Mus musculus: one gene and its partner. The protein of the gene in region 1 purifies or fractionates together with the protein of each later gene. This does not show direct contact. Links are inferred from orthologs where the notes say so. Each region holds a gene or a part of one and is shown on either strand. Other genes may lie near its edges.

Region 1 (5,490 bases):
TTTAGATAAAGGCCTACCTGGATCCAACATTTCATATCTACTCCAGGGTTCCCAAGAATGCAGAGCTCTGGATTCACTCCACAGTCCAGATCCACACAGTGATGATCAGGGTTTGAGCTTATGGAAGCATGGCTTCTTTTGAAATTCATCTAACGTTTAGTCTTCTCCCATGACCCTATCTTTTTTCTCTGTGAGATGACCATTTTTTTTCCTGTTAGGTTTTGTATTAAAATAAGCCCAAAACTTCATTGTGTTTGATTATAGCTTTATCTCTGGAAGCTTTGCATGGCTTGGGCTCAGATACAGGTTTTATATTTCCAAACCCTTAACTTATCCAAAGTAGGCATTCAAAATTCACTGAGCATACATGGCCTTACTGAATTTTGCTCCCTTGTGTTAACATTGCTGATCTGCCAGGCAAGATGTGCCTACTGGTGTAATAGTGGCATGTTGATGGCCACTTTCTGATTGAAACCTTTATCACAGGAGAGAATTTTATGCCTGATACTGTAACTCCATGTCTGGGTCACTCCTTGGGTAGAACCTGCTATTTTAATTTAGCTAAATGATTGCCTTCCAAATATTAGTGTCTATAGCTATAGATCTGGGCTGTTCTCAACTTTGGTCTGAGGAGCTTCTTTTTGCCATGAAACACAGAAACTCACAACTGGCCAAAGTTCTGAGAAGAGACTGAGTGCTCAGCCCGAAGTCTAAATGACAGAATTCTCAACCCTACCCCCACCCCCAATTAGGCCTAAGGGCCATCTTAGAAGAGGAGATTGAAAGAATGCAGGAGCTGGAGGATGCACAGGAGTGCTGTAAAAGACTGTCCTTTGTCCACAAGGTCACTGACTCCTGAACAAGACCAAGCCACCAACATTCCTACAGAGATGGGAGAGGTGATATCCAGACTCTATTTCTTACTGAGATTCCATTGGTAGTTGATAGCTTCCCACCTGGGGAGAGAGAATTGCTCTTCTTTGAGGGTGTGACCTCTGGTAGGTTTTTCCTGGTCTGTCGAATGGTCCCACACTCTTGCAAATATGGGCAGCACTAACTGGATTTATTGGGTTACTAACACAAGAAATTTGAAATTATGAGGGGAGGTGTTGGGGGAAATATGGATTTCTTGGGGAGAATTGGAGGGAGCAAATGGAAGCGTATAAGATTATAGTTTATTGTATACTTGTATAAACTTCTCAAAGAAAAAAAAAGTCTACGGGTGTGGCACAGGTCTACAATCCCAGCGCTTGGGAGGCAGAAGCAGCTGAGTATCTGTGATCCCAAGGCCAGTTTAGTTTACATGGTGAGTTTCAGGCATCCAAGGCTAAATAGTGAGTCCCTGTTGCAAGAAAAAAAAATACTATTTACTACAGTGGATTTTGAATTTGAATACTTGGCTTCTAGGTAGATTACTTGTGTTGATGATGTGGATTCCAATCTTAGTTCTTGCAATAAATTAATAGCTGCACTCCATTTGTATAACCTGTTCATTCCTCACAAGGATAGGATAGTTCTTCTAATTATTCGGAATGGCTTTGGAGACAGAGAGACCTCAGTTGGAATCTGAGCTTTATTTTGTGTTTTGTTTGTCTGTTTTTGAGACAGCATCCTGCCTTCAAACTTACAATATAGCCTAGGATGACCTCGCATCGATTCTCCTGCCTTCAACCTCAAAGAATCGGGATTAGAAGTATATGTCACCTTGAGTTTTCGCTTGACAATGATTAAATTGGCAATAATACCTATAAGTAACTGCAGTATAGATTTCCCTGTGTTGGATTAAATTGGCCCCTGCAAGCACTACTGTATTTGATCACTATTCTTATTGCTACTACAGTGTGAGATTGGAAAAGCTATGTAACCTTTCTGAGCCTCTGTATTTTTATGAGGGAAAACGGATAATGACACACTCTTCATGAGTTCTTGTGAGCATTAAATGAAACGAATAAAGTATATTAGCCAGAACAATGCCTGGCATAAGGGAGGCTTAAATTTGTGGTCTGATGTCCGCTGTGGGCAAGATACTCAGGATAAACAGTTTGTTCTAAAGACAAAAGCAAAACCAAGGTAGGCAATCTGCAAACAATGAAACCGAAGGGAGCATTGCTTTTTTTTTCCCCCAAATGCAACTGACACGCCCCGCATTTGGGTTGGATCCGCCCAGTCCTCATTAAATATGGCTGCAAGCCCGACTACCCTATTGCGGTTGCGCATGCCGAAGCTCCTCCCAGCTGCTGCTTCTCGGTGGCGCTTTCCCCCCTGGCCGGCCCGAGGTGCCTGGAGCGGGCCCTCCGTGGCGCGCATGCGCAGACGCCGTCTTGGCAGAGCTAATACTCCAAGGCGCCTGTCACATGAGCCTCGCTCCCGCTCCGCTCCCCCTCCTCCCGGCTGGGCTGTGTGAATGAAGCTCTGCCGGCTACGTGGGGCGCTAGCTCTACTCGCCGTGTGGAACGCCAGAGCCGACTGAGCGCGCTGCCCACCGCCGGTGGACACGGGCTCCGCCGCGCCGGACCTCGGTGACAGGTAAAGGCAAATGGGCTTCCCTTCCCCAACAGGTCCTTCCCGGCTCACCGGCCGCCGGCCCACCCGAGGAGCCCCCCGGTACGGCGAGCAGGGAAGAACGCTCGCCTGCCACCGCGGTCCCCGGAGCTGGCGTTCCCTCTGCCCGGCCGCCACTGAAGGAGGTGGTGGACAGCCTGGTTCCTGCCAGAGCGGGGCGGCATCTCCTCGGCAGCCCAGCCCTGTTCTGGGGAGCAGGGTCCCCAGGCTGCCGATCGAAGTTTCCTTGCCAAGCGGCGCCAAGCCCACCCAGCTTTGAAAGCGGGGAGCTTGGCTGCCCGCGTCGCTTCTCCAGAGGACAGGGCTGGGGCGGCGTTCGCTGGGAAAGCGCAGCCGAGGCCAGGTTCGGCTTGCTCCTGCTTTGGACCCGCCACAGGTTTCTAGGGCTTCTTAGCGAAGTGCAGTCCAGACGGTCTGGGCGAAGAAGTTGGTGTGCGTTTTCGCCCTTTGCCGCCCAATGCGCTTAAGCTGCTGCTTCCAGAGGTTGGAGCCCCGCGCTCCAGCTCCTTTCCAAGTAATGGAAAGAAAGCTTTAGCTTTAGCTTAACTTTGACGTGCTTTTTACCTTTATGAACGTTTCAGAACAAATCAGTTGACTGAAGTTGGACGGGTGGCCCTGTGATAACGTCAGTGGAAGCTGCGCCGAGTAAATGAGGGGAAAGCCAGAAGGTGAAGCATTAAAAACCAGTGAGACTCCCCTTTACACATACTTCATAAATGTATTAGTAATTTCCCGGGTTGAATTTCAGAGCTGTTAAATTTCCCCTTGTTCCACGACGTGCTGATCAGTAAGTACTTCTTAACAGTAAAATAGGAGGGGGATGGGGAGTCGACTTAAACTGAGCCATGTTCCAGGTAAACTCATTGGAGCACTTTTCCCTGGTGAATTCATCCTTAGAGTTTAAGCTCTCTTTTTCTTGGATTTCAGGAGCCTCTCCTCATCCAAAGCCCAGTCTTTGTTGGAGTTTTGAGGACTGGCGCACACACGAACCCTTTTTGTTCTTTAAAGAAAAAGAGGTCATTAAAGAGGGCCAACACTATTCTCCAACTAGTATTAGCCTTAAGCGTTTGGGCTTTAGCTTTCCCACTTCAGAGTTGCACACGTTGGTTATGTAAAAATCAATGGAAGTAGGAATTCACCTCAGGACAAAAAGGTGAGGGCCTTTCTGGAAAAAAATACAAATTAGCTTTTATGCCCAATGAGGGAAATAAATTATTAAAAAACTTGTTTAAATGTACTGGGTGCTTAATATATGAAACTTCCAAACCAAACTAAGACACCCCCTCCCAAACTGGTAATCACACCCGTTAATTTTTCCTTTGCTTTCTAACTCCTGTCATATAACTGGAAACTATTGTTTTGAGACTGAATTTAAAAATTCCAAATTGATCAATACCGTTGTGTGTGTGTGTGTGTGTATGTGTGTGTGTGTGTGTGTGTGTGTGTGCGCGCACGCATGCTCATGGGTGGGAGCTTAGCTTTATATAGTCACTTCTTTCTTCCCATCTTTACTGGAATTCTTGGGATTGAAGTCAGCCTTGAGCGCCAAGCTCTTTTTAACTGAGGAGCCTTCTCAACAGCTTTGGGTTTGAAAATGCATCTCTGGGAGTTAGCTAACTTACTTTGATTGTATTAATATTAATATTCTAGTTTTATGTTTTTCTTTGTCCTTGACTCATTCCCTCATTATACAAACAATAGAATATGTTCACGATAGGAATTTTGCAAAACGAGGAAAGTATAAAATAAAGTGGAACGGAAGAGCCAGTCCCCCCCTCCCCAAACTGGTATCATCGCTTCTTACTTTTTATTACGCTCCCTTTTTTGTCTGTAAGGTTTATTTTAATACTTTATTCACAGAGTCTTCTGTGTTTTCTACTGAGGTGTTCATGTAACACTGCACCTTTATGGACAGAGGAAGAATTCATGCACCGGAGTGTGGAACTTTAAGATAGGCTATCACAATTCACCTCAACCAACCCTTTACTCAACCCAGGATGAGTGTCCAGCCCCATTTACAGCTCCAACCCCAGTGATTCACACAGGATCCTACAGTAGTGAATGACAGTGTTAACTGATGGTAGAGCTCCACTCTCTCACCAGCAATACCTCACTGCTGCGAAGGGGGGAAACTTGACGCTGCTTATGTATGCTGTCTTTGAAAGAGAGGTTGCGGGGGCAGGGGCTCAGTTTCAAGAATTTGAAATTGTTCTCTTGCAATTTTTATTCTTCTGTTTTATTTTCAGGTTTGGGGCCTTAGAATCTTGCAGAAAGCAGAATCACACACTTGCATCTCCATCTATACCCTCCTTTAAGTCCCCCTCCAAAACTTGGGGGGGGGAGCACTGGAAAGCTCTGAGCCTGTGACCCCAGTGTGGGAGAAGATAGGTACAAGATGGCCATGTGGCAGGGTAAGAAATTAACACTTATTCCTCTAACTGGTTTTTCCTCCTGCTGTCTTCCACCCCCACCCCACCCCCAGTGCCAGTAGCTGCCAGGCAGCTGTTTCTTTAATTTAACCCTTTCTTTACCAGGGTGGTGCACATTCATTTAAGAGAAGCTAGAATATTCAAATGATTCTCAAGTGGATGTTAGTGGGAAGCATTGAGAAGAATTTCCTTCAATTAAATATGTATTTCTGGGGATTATTTGTGAGGGGATGATCCATTTCCCCCCTATTTGTGGTTTTCATTTGTTTCAATCAAATTCATTTTGTAAGATTCTTGGAAATCGGGGGAGACACACTTTGCTGCCTCTCAAGCTTCCTCTTGTCAATGAAGACTTTTGTGGGCGGGGCGGGGGCGGGAGCGGGGCGTGGCATTGAATAGCTCATTGAATCTTATGTGTATATTTATATTGGCGCTAGAAGGAAGATGCTCATTTTCATGTTATAACGTACCCAAGAGCCAAGCTCAACAATATTTTAGG
Region 2 (4,816 bases), on another chromosome or scaffold:
TTTCCAGTGAGTGACGAGCCCTGGGAGGGGCTTTGACAACACCAGGCTATCTAGCAGCAGAGAAATGTAATCAACACGGATCCTGCCCAGGCTTTGCCTTCATGATCACGTACTGTACCTCCTGCTAACCCCAGCTGAGACTGAGTGCCAGTTAAGGAAGACTTCTTAGTATCTCATAGCTTTCGGAGTCCAGAACTGTCTCTCTGTACCTTCTAGAAGCCCCATCTGCACGTCCCAGCCCTTCCCATCCTCCTGATACTTAGCACTGAATGTCAGTAGCCCTTGAAAAACTGAAACTCCCAACTGAAACTACTCTCTCGTCTTCAACCCCTCACAAAGAACCAAAGGCTTCACAGACATCTTCCATGCATGGTCAAAGGGAAACCTGGAAGAACGGCAACTCTGATCCGACATACAGCTCCTTACAGGCACTTGCTGTGCGACTGAGTCCTTGACACCTCCCACCATCCACATGTAGGCCTGGGCTGAGCCAGGGCTGGACTCTGCTGAGTGGCCACTCTGGAAGCTTCTAGGGCACATTTTTCTTGCTTACCCTCTCAATCCTTCTCCCATCTGGGTTTTGCTTAGACATTTTGCAAGAAACACCATTTAATGGGCCTGTAGGGTATGGATGACATCGGGTGGGCACTGTGCAGTTTCAAAGGTGAAGTAAATGTGACACCTACTGTCCCCTTGCGGTGTGCACACACACAGGCAGTACCCTACTGAGCCTGTGCCTCTTTCCTCAGCAGGTGGCAAGAGTCCACCCTGGCTTTGCAAAGCGCTGCCTATGTCTGAATCCACCTAGGAAAATGTATTGTTCCCCATATGGGACAGCGCACCTAACCAGATCATTTGCAGAACACTTTCTCATGGCTCTCCATCTCCCTTGAGATCTGCAACTCTTGAGAAATAAAACAATTTAATGGCTTCTTTGATGTATAGACAACAGAAAGACAAACATTTCTCTCCATGCATGATACAATGAAATTCAGGGACAAGAGACCATCCAAGGACAGGAGCCATGGTACTCCGGTCCCCATTGGCCTTGTGTCATATGGTCCAACTTTATGGCTCAGCAGCTGCAGTCACAGGGGAGAGGTGGGAGGCCTTACGGCCTCCTGGGATGGGAGTAAGGTGACAGCTGCTGAATATGCCGGCATGCATGGGCACTGCCATGCACTGGTGGACCAGGAGCCGAGGAGAGGGGAACAGGCTTCCAGGTGGACTCTGGAGATGACTGTGGGCTCAGGGGCACCACAACAGTTCCTGAGACTGGGGCTAGGCCAAGCTAAAGTACTGGCACTGGAGGAACTGGGAATGGGGACCACAGCATCCTAGAGCGAAGGCTGAGCGCTGGATCATACTTTCCTCGCACCCACTGAGCTCTTGATGACACAGCTTCGTCTCCCGTAAGCATCCTTAAGATGTGGAGCTGGGAGGAATGGTGAAGACAGGAGGGATGAATTCCACCCAATCATGTGGCCACCTCAAATGTCTCTGTTCCCTTCTGCCTTCCCTCCCCTCCCCTCTACCCCCCAGAGACCTACAGAGACCCAATCACACTCCCTCGTTATAACAGTCGAGTACATTTCTAGAGAGGGAGAAGGATAAACGCCATGGGCATTTGAAGGGAAGACCCAGGGAAGACTGCAGTGAGCCCCAGAAGCTGGTAGCCATGGCCCAGGTCTCTGATGCAATCATGGCAACCATCTAACTGAGCATCTTGTGTCGGTCGAAGACCGTCTTCCGCTGCTCCTGCACCTGCAGCTTCCACCGCTGCTGAGCGCCTTCCACCCGCTCCAGGACAGTGTTTGCCCGGGGTCCTCCAATGGACGCAGCGGCTGTTGCCATGGTGCGAGCATCCTGCATTGGAATAAGAAGGGAAACGATCTGAATGAGGATGGAGGGGTCAGGGCTCTGGATCCTTAAAGTCTGGCATGGAACCAAGTACCCCAGTGAGCACTTCTAAAGTCTGAATTCCCCAAGGGCTGTGGGCTCCATGAGGGCCTTGCCTGGTCATCTGAAGACCTCAATGGTGTGCCTAGCCAGAAAGCTTTGGTGTCTTTAAGAGTCAGGAGCATCTTCTGGGGCCCAAGCAATTCCAGCAGAGCTGGCTCAAGTCTAGGTCTCACCCTAACCATTCCTAAGTCTCAGGAGAAGGACTGAATATTGGCTTCAAGACCTCATGTACACCGGCCAAGACTTCAAGAGCTATGTACCCAAATGCACAGGGCAGTTACTCAACTGCACACCTCCTCTCTCTGTCCTACTGCTCAGGGGACAAGAAGAAGGGCGCGCGCGCGCACACACACACACACACACACACACACACACACACACACACAGAGAGAGAGAGAGAGAGAGAGAGAGAGAGAGAGAGAGAGAGAGAGAGAGAGCGATTGATTGCTTCTCCTGAAAAAGAGAAGATGGGACATCCTTCAGAGCCTGGTAGGGGTGAAAGTCTAGGGTTAGGGTTCAACTCTAGCATTCCCATGTCATGGCCAGCTGCAGCAGTCAGCCAGTCCCATGCTTGGCAGATCTGCTCTCTCTCTCTCTCCCTCTGCTGGTTTTCCTGTCCCCCTTCCCCTTTGCTCTCAGACCCACTTCACCTTCTGTCGCTTCTGTCGTCAGTCTTCTCTTAATTATCACTCCTCTGCCTCTGAAGCTCCAGAGCCCATGCATTTCCTGCAGGACCCAGAGCTGATCTCTGGGGGGAGAATTAGAGCCGAGGGCCAGGCCCACAGCCCGTGGGGATTTCCTCCCTAGCTCTCCCCGCCTCTCATCTCCTGCCACATATCTCTTAAAGGATTAGTGCACCCCTCTAAGCCCAGAGCCGCCCAGTAAATGCAACTTTGCTTCTAATGCCCCGAGCTGGCATAGCTTCTGTCACTGCAGCTGCCAGCTTGAGAGTGGGGTGGGGCAGGAGGGTATAGAGAGGCTGGCAGGGCAGAGAGGAGGCTGGGGTCAAAGGGCTGGGATAGCCTTATCCTTGAAGCACAGTGCTGGGCGATTTGTCCTGAGCTCACTTGCTCCTAAGGTGACTTATAGATGGTCCCCTGGGAGTCCATGCTCAAGACTGAGTGGGTGCCATGGGCAGGCCAGGTGAGGTCCAGGCCTGTCACCCCAGCTACCCAGGAAGCAGAAACAGGAGGATAGCAAGTTCAAGGCCAGTGGCAACCACTTAGTGAGATGCTGTCTCAGGACAGAAGCTAACCATGCCTGTGGCTGTAGGACAATTTCTAGCAACATGCCCAAACCCAGAAGCAAACCCAAAGAAAAACAAAAATCCTAGTCATGTCTCACAAAATTCCTTTAGAGATCTGATGTGCTCAAGTACCATTGTGTGACTACAAGATGTGTTTGTCATGGGGAGAACCATTTGTCAAGAGAACTGGCAAGCACAGATCGGAGCTCAAGGGCCCTTCTCCCTGGGAGTTCAGCACAGCCGACTCAAAAAAACCTGGCTTTGACTCCTACCAGACACATGGCCTTAGGTGGGTCAGAACCAACCTCTCTCATACAGGATGGAGACTGAGGTGGTCTCAAGGACACAATGAATACAGAAACTTGGTCAGCTTCTGGAGATAGAAAGCACTCAAGGTCAGTGCTGGGAATCACTGAGGCAGAGAAGGGGGAAAGGCAGGTTGACTACTGTCAGGGGAGCTGCCTCTGAGCATCACTGTGGCCTACACCACCACCTCACTCCACCCCTCCCCAGACTGGCTGCGCTGCCTAAGTGGCCCAACCAAGAAAGCAGCTTGGCTCAGACTGCTCTTAGCATGGCTGTAGGGTAGGGGTGGGCACCGAAGACCTGCCCGCCTGAGTAACAGCTCGCCCCCCCCCCCAGGACCCCAGTCTAGCTTCGGGGGGGGGGGGGGGGCGAGGGCTGCTTTCTTCCACAATCCTACTCCTGCCCATTTCTAGGCCGTGTTGCCCTGGAGGGCTCTGGTTAATGAGTGCCTGGGGGTAAAACTGGGAGAGCAGGCCTGGGGTCATCTTGGGGCATGCTGGAGCTGGTGAGAATGCAGCAGCTCTGCTCTTGGGTTGTCTGAGGAAGTGGGAGCTGGACAGAGCCGGAGCAGTGTCAAGGGAGCATGTTGTAACTCACCACATTGCCACGGCTCCACTTGGGAGCGCTCAGGTGAAGTCGCAGCAAACAGCTCTCAAGTGCGAGAAAGCTGCTGCTGAGAGCCTCTGTGTCCCCATGGCTGACAGTCTGATTAAAAGGTATTAGAGTAGCCACATCTATTCCCTAAGAAGACCCACAGATGGCCTCAGGCCTGCCTGCTCGGCAGGTGAATGGGGATGAGGGTGGGGCAGCAAGGAAAGTCTTCCCTTTAGCCTCCCTTCTCCCATCAGGTCTGGGCTGAGGAATGCAGGGAGGCGGGGGACAGTGAGGGCAGGGGATGGATGGAGCCCCTCTCACAGTGGGGCATGAATGTTGACAATTCCCTAGAGGTCCCCAGGTAACCAGACTGATGTCACCCTGACAAGCAGATACCACTCACTATACACCGGTCTCTTTCCCAGGTACTTCACACTCCTACGGCAAGTGGCTAATATCACCTCCATCTTTTGCACAACTTAGACTCTGAAGGAGAAATTGCCTCGCAAACCAAGGTCACCTAATTTCATGGGACCACATTTGAACTTGTTCACACCCCTGGATCTCCTGTCTTAGGACTCAGTTGCTTTTGCTTTTGGCTGGATTTTCCCAAGAGGAAATCAAATGGACAACCAGAGAAGCAGGCACACCTCACCCCAGAGTTAGATCAAAGACAGGTAGCTGCAGGTTACTTGTGGCCAGAGGCTC

The links. Proteins that work in one complex are often made in the same cells at the same time.
Region 2: the proteins of Clcn5 (region 1) and Tmem9 purify together in Homo sapiens (co-immunoprecipitation; 3 studies listed by BioGRID and IntAct, with this or other methods). This does not show direct contact. The link is inferred for Mus musculus from reciprocal best matches to the Homo sapiens genes CLCN5 and TMEM9.

Annotation. Positions count from the first base shown.
Region 1 is NC_000086.7:7,316,142-7,321,631, reverse strand, and holds the start of Clcn5 (H(+)/Cl(-) exchange transporter 5), read left to right. Parts: upstream 1-2,273; 5' UTR 2,274-2,526; intron 2,527-3,143; exon of another isoform or gene 3,144-3,248; intron 3,249-4,808; 5' UTR 4,809-4,957; coding exon 4,958-4,973; intron 4,974-5,490. UniProt on the Homo sapiens protein: Proton-coupled chloride transporter. Functions as antiport system and exchanges chloride ions against protons. Important for normal acidification of the endosome lumen. May play an important role in renal tubular function.
Region 2 is NC_000067.6:136,031,118-136,035,933, reverse strand, and holds the end of Tmem9 (transmembrane protein 9 precursor), read right to left. Parts: intron 1,867-4,816; coding exon 1,714-1,866; 3' UTR 904-1,713; downstream 1-903. UniProt on the Homo sapiens protein: Transmembrane protein that binds to and facilitates the assembly of lysosomal proton-transporting V-type ATPase (v-ATPase), resulting in enhanced lysosomal acidification and trafficking.